Tribolium castaneum: one gene and its partner. The protein of the gene in region 1 interacts with the protein of each later gene in a pairwise test. Links are inferred from orthologs where the notes say so. Each region holds a gene or a part of one and is shown in the gene's direction. Other genes may lie near its edges. The genes, in order: cnc and Keap1.

What was found.
Region 2: the proteins of cnc (region 1) and Keap1 interact in binary tests that used the Homo sapiens proteins (3 or more experiments, as listed by UniProt). The link is inferred for Tribolium castaneum from reciprocal best matches to the Homo sapiens genes NFE2L1 and KEAP1.

The regions. Positions count from the first base shown.
Region 1 is NC_087403.1:2,302,120-2,305,953, forward strand, and holds the end of cnc (cap-n-collar), read left to right. Parts: intron 1-2,147; coding exon 2,148-2,780; intron 2,781-2,833; coding exon 2,834-2,986; 3' UTR 2,987-3,748; downstream 3,749-3,834.
Region 2 is NC_087395.1:20,688,847-20,693,114, forward strand, and holds the start of Keap1 (kelch-like ECH-associated protein 1B), read left to right. Parts: upstream 1-1,195; 5' UTR 1,196-1,293; coding exon 1,294-1,334; intron 1,335-4,268. UniProt on the Homo sapiens protein: Substrate-specific adapter of a BCR (BTB-CUL3-RBX1) E3 ubiquitin ligase complex that regulates the response to oxidative stress by targeting NFE2L2/NRF2 for ubiquitination.

The DNA.
Region 1 (3,834 bases):
AAATATTCACCGAACTTCATAAAGTCACTCACTAATCAGTAATCACTGCAAAAGTGTGTGGTTATGCAAATAGTTAATTAACCACCTAATTATGTCATTATGGAACAATGGAAAAAACTTTGCTGTTGATACTTTGTTTGTTACCCAAAGAATATTAATCAGTCTATCAATATTTTGTCCTACAGAAGTTAAATACCTGCATTTTTTTGGGATCACACGAACGACAAAAGTTAATACTTGTTAGTTATTTTCTATAAAAATCCTTAATTACAAATGTGAAGACGCGATAAGTAAACTCAATTTTTTAATTTGTGTTGTTTGACCGATTTTAAAATCATTTTGGGCTTAGCGTTGTTAATTCTTCGTAAACTATTTTTTTACGCAATTTATTTACTTCAAGTTGAAGTCTAAATCGACAGAAACAAGTGTTAGAGTGAAATAAATAGTAATGAGTGTCTGGTGTTTTTATTACATCAACGGTCTCCCCAAAAGGTGTTGCTTTATTTAAATAAAATATTACAAAGATAACTTGCGTAAAGTGATTTTATAACTAAAGCCTCTTCCTTATCATTTTCAAAACACACACTTTTCGAGAAGTACTTATTTTTATCAAATTTATTATACAAGGTGATAAGAATGACTGATTGAGTTAACAATAGACCACTTTCTCGTCGAGCAAAACTGCAAACGGATATGGTTTTGGTTACATTTGATGTAACAAGATCGTTGGTTGGATCCCTATTTAATTTTAATACAGTTTGGAGCGTCAAATTGTCAACAACCGGAAATGGTACTATTTTTAAATAAAAGGCACCGAGATTTTAAAATAACTTTATTTTATTTATTTACATGTTGCGGTGTTTTACAACAGTATATCATTACTTATTTGTAACTGAGTTAAGTGGTTTTAAACAAAATTACTTTCGCCAAAAACATGAGTTGGTGTTAATTTTTTAAAATATTTATCAAAAGTATATCAAAAAAAATTTTTTGATAGCTCTTCAAATGAAGGCGGAAGAGATTGAAAAATTAAAAGCGATAAGCGTAAGAACGAGATGCCAGACAAATCGGTAGGTAGTCAAGTTAGGGATGGGTCAGACAGTCCATAAATCATCAATGTTAATTCTTAGCACCAACGGGGGTGCAGTAATATTCCGGTAAAATGTAAACGAATATCTTTCTTTTTCAAACCTTGCAAACCACATTGGCCGATTAATATGCGTAATCGACTGGCAAGAAGTCATTTCAACTTTAAATTTATTTTACCCTTTATTTGAAGAATCAGCAACTTGAATAAAATTAAACAATAATGAACAGTTGGGGAGGTGGTCAAACTGTTCAATTTTACCTCAAAGAAAAATTAATAGAAATATAAAATAATAAAAAATAAACAATATAGAAATGAAAATAAATTTAGAAATTACGTAAGAACTAAAAAGAAAATCTATAAGAAGAAAAAACACTTGTGTAAAAAAATGAACAGAAAAAAATCTTTAGCACTTATTATCAACAACAGTCGGCAATCCATTTGAGCAAAGTTAATTATTACAAATCAAATTTTTCTAGTTTTTATTACCGACAATTAACGATTTTTATTTTCCGAATACACTAATTTGGTCTTAGTTAAGACAATTTTTTATAAAACCAAGTAAAATTCAATCGACGTTTTATCGTTTATTCTGATGTCAACAGTAGAGAAAAACGTATTAGTATTAGTGCAAAACTATTTTTAATTTAATCAAAAAATCATTTTAACAAGCTTTCCAAAATTTTTGTCTAAATCTAAAGTTTATTTATGTTCTTTCTTTATAAATATAAAAACACAGACAAAAATTTGTTGTTTTATTTCATCTCGGGTTTCATACTCGGCTTCATATTAAAAAAATGTATCTTTTTTCCACTCAGCGATTTAGTTGAGTTGTTAACTATGATGATTTTTATTTTTATTTTTAATATTTTTATTGATAAATATGTTTCTAATTTTACAGTTTTTTTTTAAACATGCCTTACATAACTGGAATACTTAGTACAAAATGTTATTTTAATTCTTGTAAGCACACAGATAATATTAAACACGTAATCGTTGCTAAAATCTTGAGGAAATATTGGTTTTTTACGAAATTGCACCGCATAATTCCGCATTGCAGGAGCAGGGCGCAACGAGCGCTGTGTCCCACCAGCCCCCCGTCAAATACGAGTACCGCGACCCCACGGCAGCCCCCTACAACAGCTCCCAGCCGGAGGGGGCCGTGGGTCCCAAACCCTCCGAAATGAAGTACTCGTGTTCGATGGAGTTCGGGAGACACAGCCACTTGGTGAGAAACTCCCTCGACCACATCCAGCACAACCATACGTACCACCTGCCCACTGAAAGTACGGGGGCAATGCAACGTCCAGTTTCGCGCGACAAAACCAAGTCGAAGAAGGGTGACGAGGAGCATTTGACGAGAGATGAGAAGCGAGCTCGTGCCTTGAACGTTCCGATCACCGTCGATGATATTATTAACTTGCCGATGGACGAATTCAACGAACGCTTGTCCAAGTACGACCTGAGCGAGCCGCAGTTGAGCTTGATTCGCGATATCCGCCGTCGCGGCAAGAACAAAGTGGCGGCTCAGAACTGCAGGAAGCGCAAGCTGGACCAGATTTTGAGTCTGGCTGACGAGGTCAAAGATATGCGAGATAGGAAAATGCGGCTCATGAACGAGCATGAGTATGTCACCGGCGAGTGTCAGCGCATGAAAGACAAGTACCAGCAGCTATACAGACACGTTTTTCAAGTAAGTGGGGTGACTTGAGCAAATATTGGTATCTGACGATTTTTTCGGTGCAGAATTTGCGGGATCCGGATGGGAATCAATACTCGCCGTACCAATACAGTCTTCAGACGTCTGCAGATGGGTCGATATTGGTCGTCCCTCGGTCCAACTCGACAATGACGAATCCAGAACACAAGGAGCCACCACCTCAAGGTCACAAAGATTGAACTGTTGACTAGTTTTATATGCATACATTTTTGATGTAACACTTTAAAGAAAGTTCCATTTCTCACGGCAAACGTTGCTCAAACATTATTTTTATACGCATTGATTTTGGAAAAGTTTTACTGTATACAAAAACAGTTTGATTTAACGGGCATTTAAACGAAGAGTTGGTGCTGAGAAAAACATTTTCTATTGATTTGTATCTGGGTTAAGAAGCTTTGAAAAGTGCTTATTAATTTTCTTTGTCTTTAAGCGTTATTTCACTATAGAACTACGATAATATATTTTTCTAATACATGAAAATATCAGGTGATGAATATGCCTTTTTTTCATAACATATTGTACATAGTTATTCTAAGTAATGGATGAATGCGAGTGACTGACGTTATTGGTGCTAGGAACTGGGAGATAGTGGAGCTAATTTTCATGCCAGTTAGACGTTCTGTAATCATCATTTTTGAATGATGGATGTGATTTATTGTAACCACGTTATTTTATACAACTGTAGTACCCGTACTTCTTGGTTATATTTTACTTAGTTATAACATCTTCATTAAATTACTAGGCTAATATTTTTTATAAATCGTATAGGTTTTGTACATTGTATATCTTGTAAGTAGCTTATTAAGTATCCCTGTGAATGTGTAGCATTTCGTCAAGTGAATTGCTGGGTTTAATCTTACAGTTTGTACACTTAACATTGCTTTTACAAGCAACTTATATTTGGTTATTGGTGCCAATAAAGATCTCTACAATAAACTACACTTGTCTTTTCTTGTCCCGTTACCGTGAAAAAAATTATTTGAGCAACTGGCCGAGTAAGGGCCAAATTACAACAGGAAGTGGATAT
Region 2 (4,268 bases), on another chromosome or scaffold:
ACTATTGTGATTTCTCTGTGAAATCTTGAATTAAACTTTTACTCACTTTTTGCATTTTTCAGCAAAGTTTATTTCCGGGATTTTTGATGTTTTGTATTTTTTCGTTTTTGAGTTCGAGGTCTTTTGCATTATTTTGACGGCTCTGTCACTTTGACGGCATTCACAATTTAAATTAAGCGGCACATTACGTTCAAATTTCATTGGTGGCTTGATGAACAACCATTTTTGAACACATTGTATAAAATACCGGGTGAACAAAAGTGACTGTTTCCAGTACTGTAATCGAAAATGATTTTTATTGATAAATAGTTGACGAAAGTTGTTTCCTTTTTATAATAATTACAAGTGTCAAGTATTAATCTGTCGACAACCGGAAGGCACTTTTAAGATAAAAAAAAATATTGTAGCCAATTTAGACACTCTTTTTTATCATCTGTTATTTCTTCGCATAGCCATCGAGATTTTGTCGATCTAATATTATGACCTAAATTCTCACTAGGAATTAGTAATTCAACTTGATTTCAATCGCCTATAAACATGGTGATTTTGTGTAGCTATTTATTGGTTATCGAATTATTTTTTATCAATTAATTAGCAATAATTTTAATATGAATTTTTCATCATCGATGTAGACTAAGAAATTTGCCAATTTTTCTATCTTCTGTAACTATTTAGACAATTTTAGCTTTACATATGGTGATGTTTCTGTACTTGCAAAAGTATTTGGTATTTTCGTTTTCCTGACATTCCAGGAAAATACTTATCGAAACAATGCATTGTCTTTTATCTTAAAAATCTGTATAATAAAAAATGATGTGACTGAAATCTATTTTTAAAAATGAGAATTACAGGCTGTTGCAGGAAGTAAATTTCAGTTGGGTCCTGCCAAAAATCTGTTAAGGTTATTAACCACTCCATTTTTTCTAGTCATTCTGACGTTGTTGTAATAAATAATAATCACATTTTCCCATCTTATCAGGTGTGTTTTAATTAGAAACAACGTAAATAATTTTTAATGCATAAAAATGACCACTGTTAGCGTGCAATGTAAACTTCTCACGCATTCTTGTCTTGACCTACGTTAAGGTTTGTAACCGGCGGCTTTTAAAAGTCATCATGTCATTCGCTGTTGCAAATCAGAAAATAACAAAACAAGTTTCTTGATATATTCAATAGATAAAAGTTTTTGATTAAATTTATTATCCATCATGTTCAGTTGTGGAGTAACGGTGGAGCATGGAGGACCATTGTTCGAGCTGTGATATATTAGTGCGTAATGTGTAGATAAAAAAAATGATTTCTCCCAGCGATAGTGGTTGGCCGGCAGATTTAGAGTAAGATTGCAAGTCATTTAGTTGATACTGGAATTTATTTTGTATGTTTCAAGGCTGAACATGCAATCACAAATAATGATACTCTAATTTGTTGTTTGTTGGTTTTAACAGTGTCGGTAACCGGACACTAATTAATCCCTTCTTCTGGTGTTATAAATTGATTTTTTGTTTCTTGTGTCTTTGGCGAGAAATGTTTTCCTGAGTCAATTCTTTGAAACATTCTATTTGAAAAATCCAGTAATAGTTTTTGCTGACGAATGTTTGTCGTATGAAGATCTTAATTGCACGAGCAATAAAACGACAATTTATGCATAATTAACTGATCATTTGTTTGGCTAAGATGTGGGCCGGTAATGTGTTGTTATCTTTGTGGTAACCAGAAAAGTATGATCGCGCCACGAGTGAGTGTGGAGATCATCAACTTTTTGACTTCGTTATCAATTGTCACGAAAAAATATTTATGATTTATTTGTAATAAATTAGTAATACTAATAATATAATTTGCAGTATTGAGATATTAGACCTAGCAACTTTTTAATGATTAATAAAATACATATTAGAGTTTAGCGTTGATAGGTAATAGAAATCATTCAATTATGTACGTACTCGTATAGCTTGTGTTATTTTACTTGTAACTTACAAGTATTTGAAACGATATTCTACAGGACTCTTTTAAGATACATATTTTAAAATTTTCGTTGAAAATTATAGTCACCAAAATAGCAGAATGTGTCTTATTAGCCATCAGAATCCAACTTTGGATTACTAACAAATTTTGAACTCAAAAACAACTATTTTTTAATTTATTAACATTTTGAAAGTATGAAAGGTGCATAATAGCAATATTTTAGAAGATAACTTTGCTTTACAATCATTTCTTATCTTTATTATTATTTAAATTTTTCACTTTAGACTTTAGATACAATTGCTTTTTTAAAATAATTTTTATTTTTTCAGTTAATAAATAAAAATTCGATACCTGTTTCTTGTTTTCAAATTTTATTTTTGTAATATCTGTTTCAAAACTAAATTGGTCACTAGAGTCCAATTTAACACAGAATTAAACCTTATTTCTACACCCTTTTAGCACCAGGTAAAGTTTCGACTTCTAGACCGTAAACACCTAGTATTTATGGTCGCCGCACTTTTGAGATTATGTTGTCTTATGCTGGTTTTACACAGCATATGATATGACTAAAGTTATACTTCACTTTCAAGGTTTGCTCTAATATGAGATCGAAAATATTTTCGATCTCACGTTAGTAAGATTTTTCTTAATACTCTCCTTACCACAGATCTTTTTCTGATTTTCTGCATAATATAGTTCAGTCTTTTCATTTCAAAAGTGGAACTTTTGATTTTAAGTAAATAATACAGGTTGCTCAAAAACCGGCGCATCAACTCAATGGTGTGTCGTAGAGAAATGCTAGAACACCATGATTTTTTTATGTATCGATAGTATTTCGAATGAGCTTTCTAATGAAATAGAGTTTGCATAGCAAATATAAAATATTTTTCGAGATTTAAAAAATATATGTATTTTATTACAAGAAAATATGCTTAGAATCTGATAGTCAAATGGTACATTTTTGATATGTACTGATGTGACTAATTACATTAGTAATCTAATTATTACCTAATACATAAATGAATTTCATTCATCAAGAATTATTAACAAAATAAATAAAACATATTTTTTTACTCTTTTGAACACTTTAAGAAATATTGTAAATTTGGTAAACAAACCGCATATCATTAGAAAGCCTATGAAACATACTATCGATACATGTAATGGCACACCCTGTACATTTCAAGTAAAAGTCGACTATTTCTTAAATCTACAAGGTATTCTGACAGGGGGGTCACCCTGTATAAAAAGTAAAATTGTAAAAAAATCTATGTATAAAAGTTACTGATAAATAACGAATCAATGTGATCGTAATTGAATTTGATCAAAAATAAAAATGAAATATTTTTTAAGTTGTTTCCTAGAAAATAGTACCAAGTGTTTGCGATTTTTTATTGAATTTTATTTTTTTTTAACAAAAAAACTGCTAAAGTCTGATAATAAACTTAAAAATAATTATTCACCATTGTGTTAGGGAACGATTACGTAGTGCGAAACATAAAACGATTAAAAATAATGAAAACTGAAGAAGTTAATAAAATAAGTTTGTCGCTCCAAATTTTTGAAAATATGACTTTAGTAATATTTTCAAGATTTTTCCCGTAATCCACACATGCTTTTCAACAACAACAGAGTTGGTGCATTGGTTTTTGAAGCAGCCTGTAGATCCAATATGTTCAAAAAAAAATTTTTTAATGCTAAGATCAGAGCAAAGAATCAGAACATAGGAGCTGTTATAGTTTTCAAGTTCTCGCAAACTTGGTTTTGATTTAGTACCAAAGCAATGTTTTTTATTTTTCCTTTTAGTCATTTTGAAAATTATTTCTCTGTGTGTACATGTTTACATACAAATTAAATTAACTAGTGTTATCTGTGTGATGATGTAAACGTAAATGACATATTGATAGCGGCATTTTAGGTACCATCAAAGACTAAATAATTGGGAGTAAAAAATTTTCGACCAATAAACCATTTTCTCCAAGTCTGTGCATACAGGATTTTTCACTTAAGAAACTGCCCCTGATTGAAAATAGTGGTCTATTCCCGGGAGTTTCATAATTCATGAGAGAATAACATTTTAAAACAAACAGGGTTTTTACTTATCTTATCTCTTGTATTGGCTATTTTTAAGGAAAGGTTTAGAGGGTTGTTGAAAAATAAGTGTTAAGGTTCTCTATGTCAGAACGATTAGTAAGAGGTGTATTTGGATTTGTAATAGGTACATTTTTAGTGATAATGATAATGTATCTGGAAATTTGAATAAAACGTATAAACCGATACAGCGTGATTCAAAAAAATCTTAGATC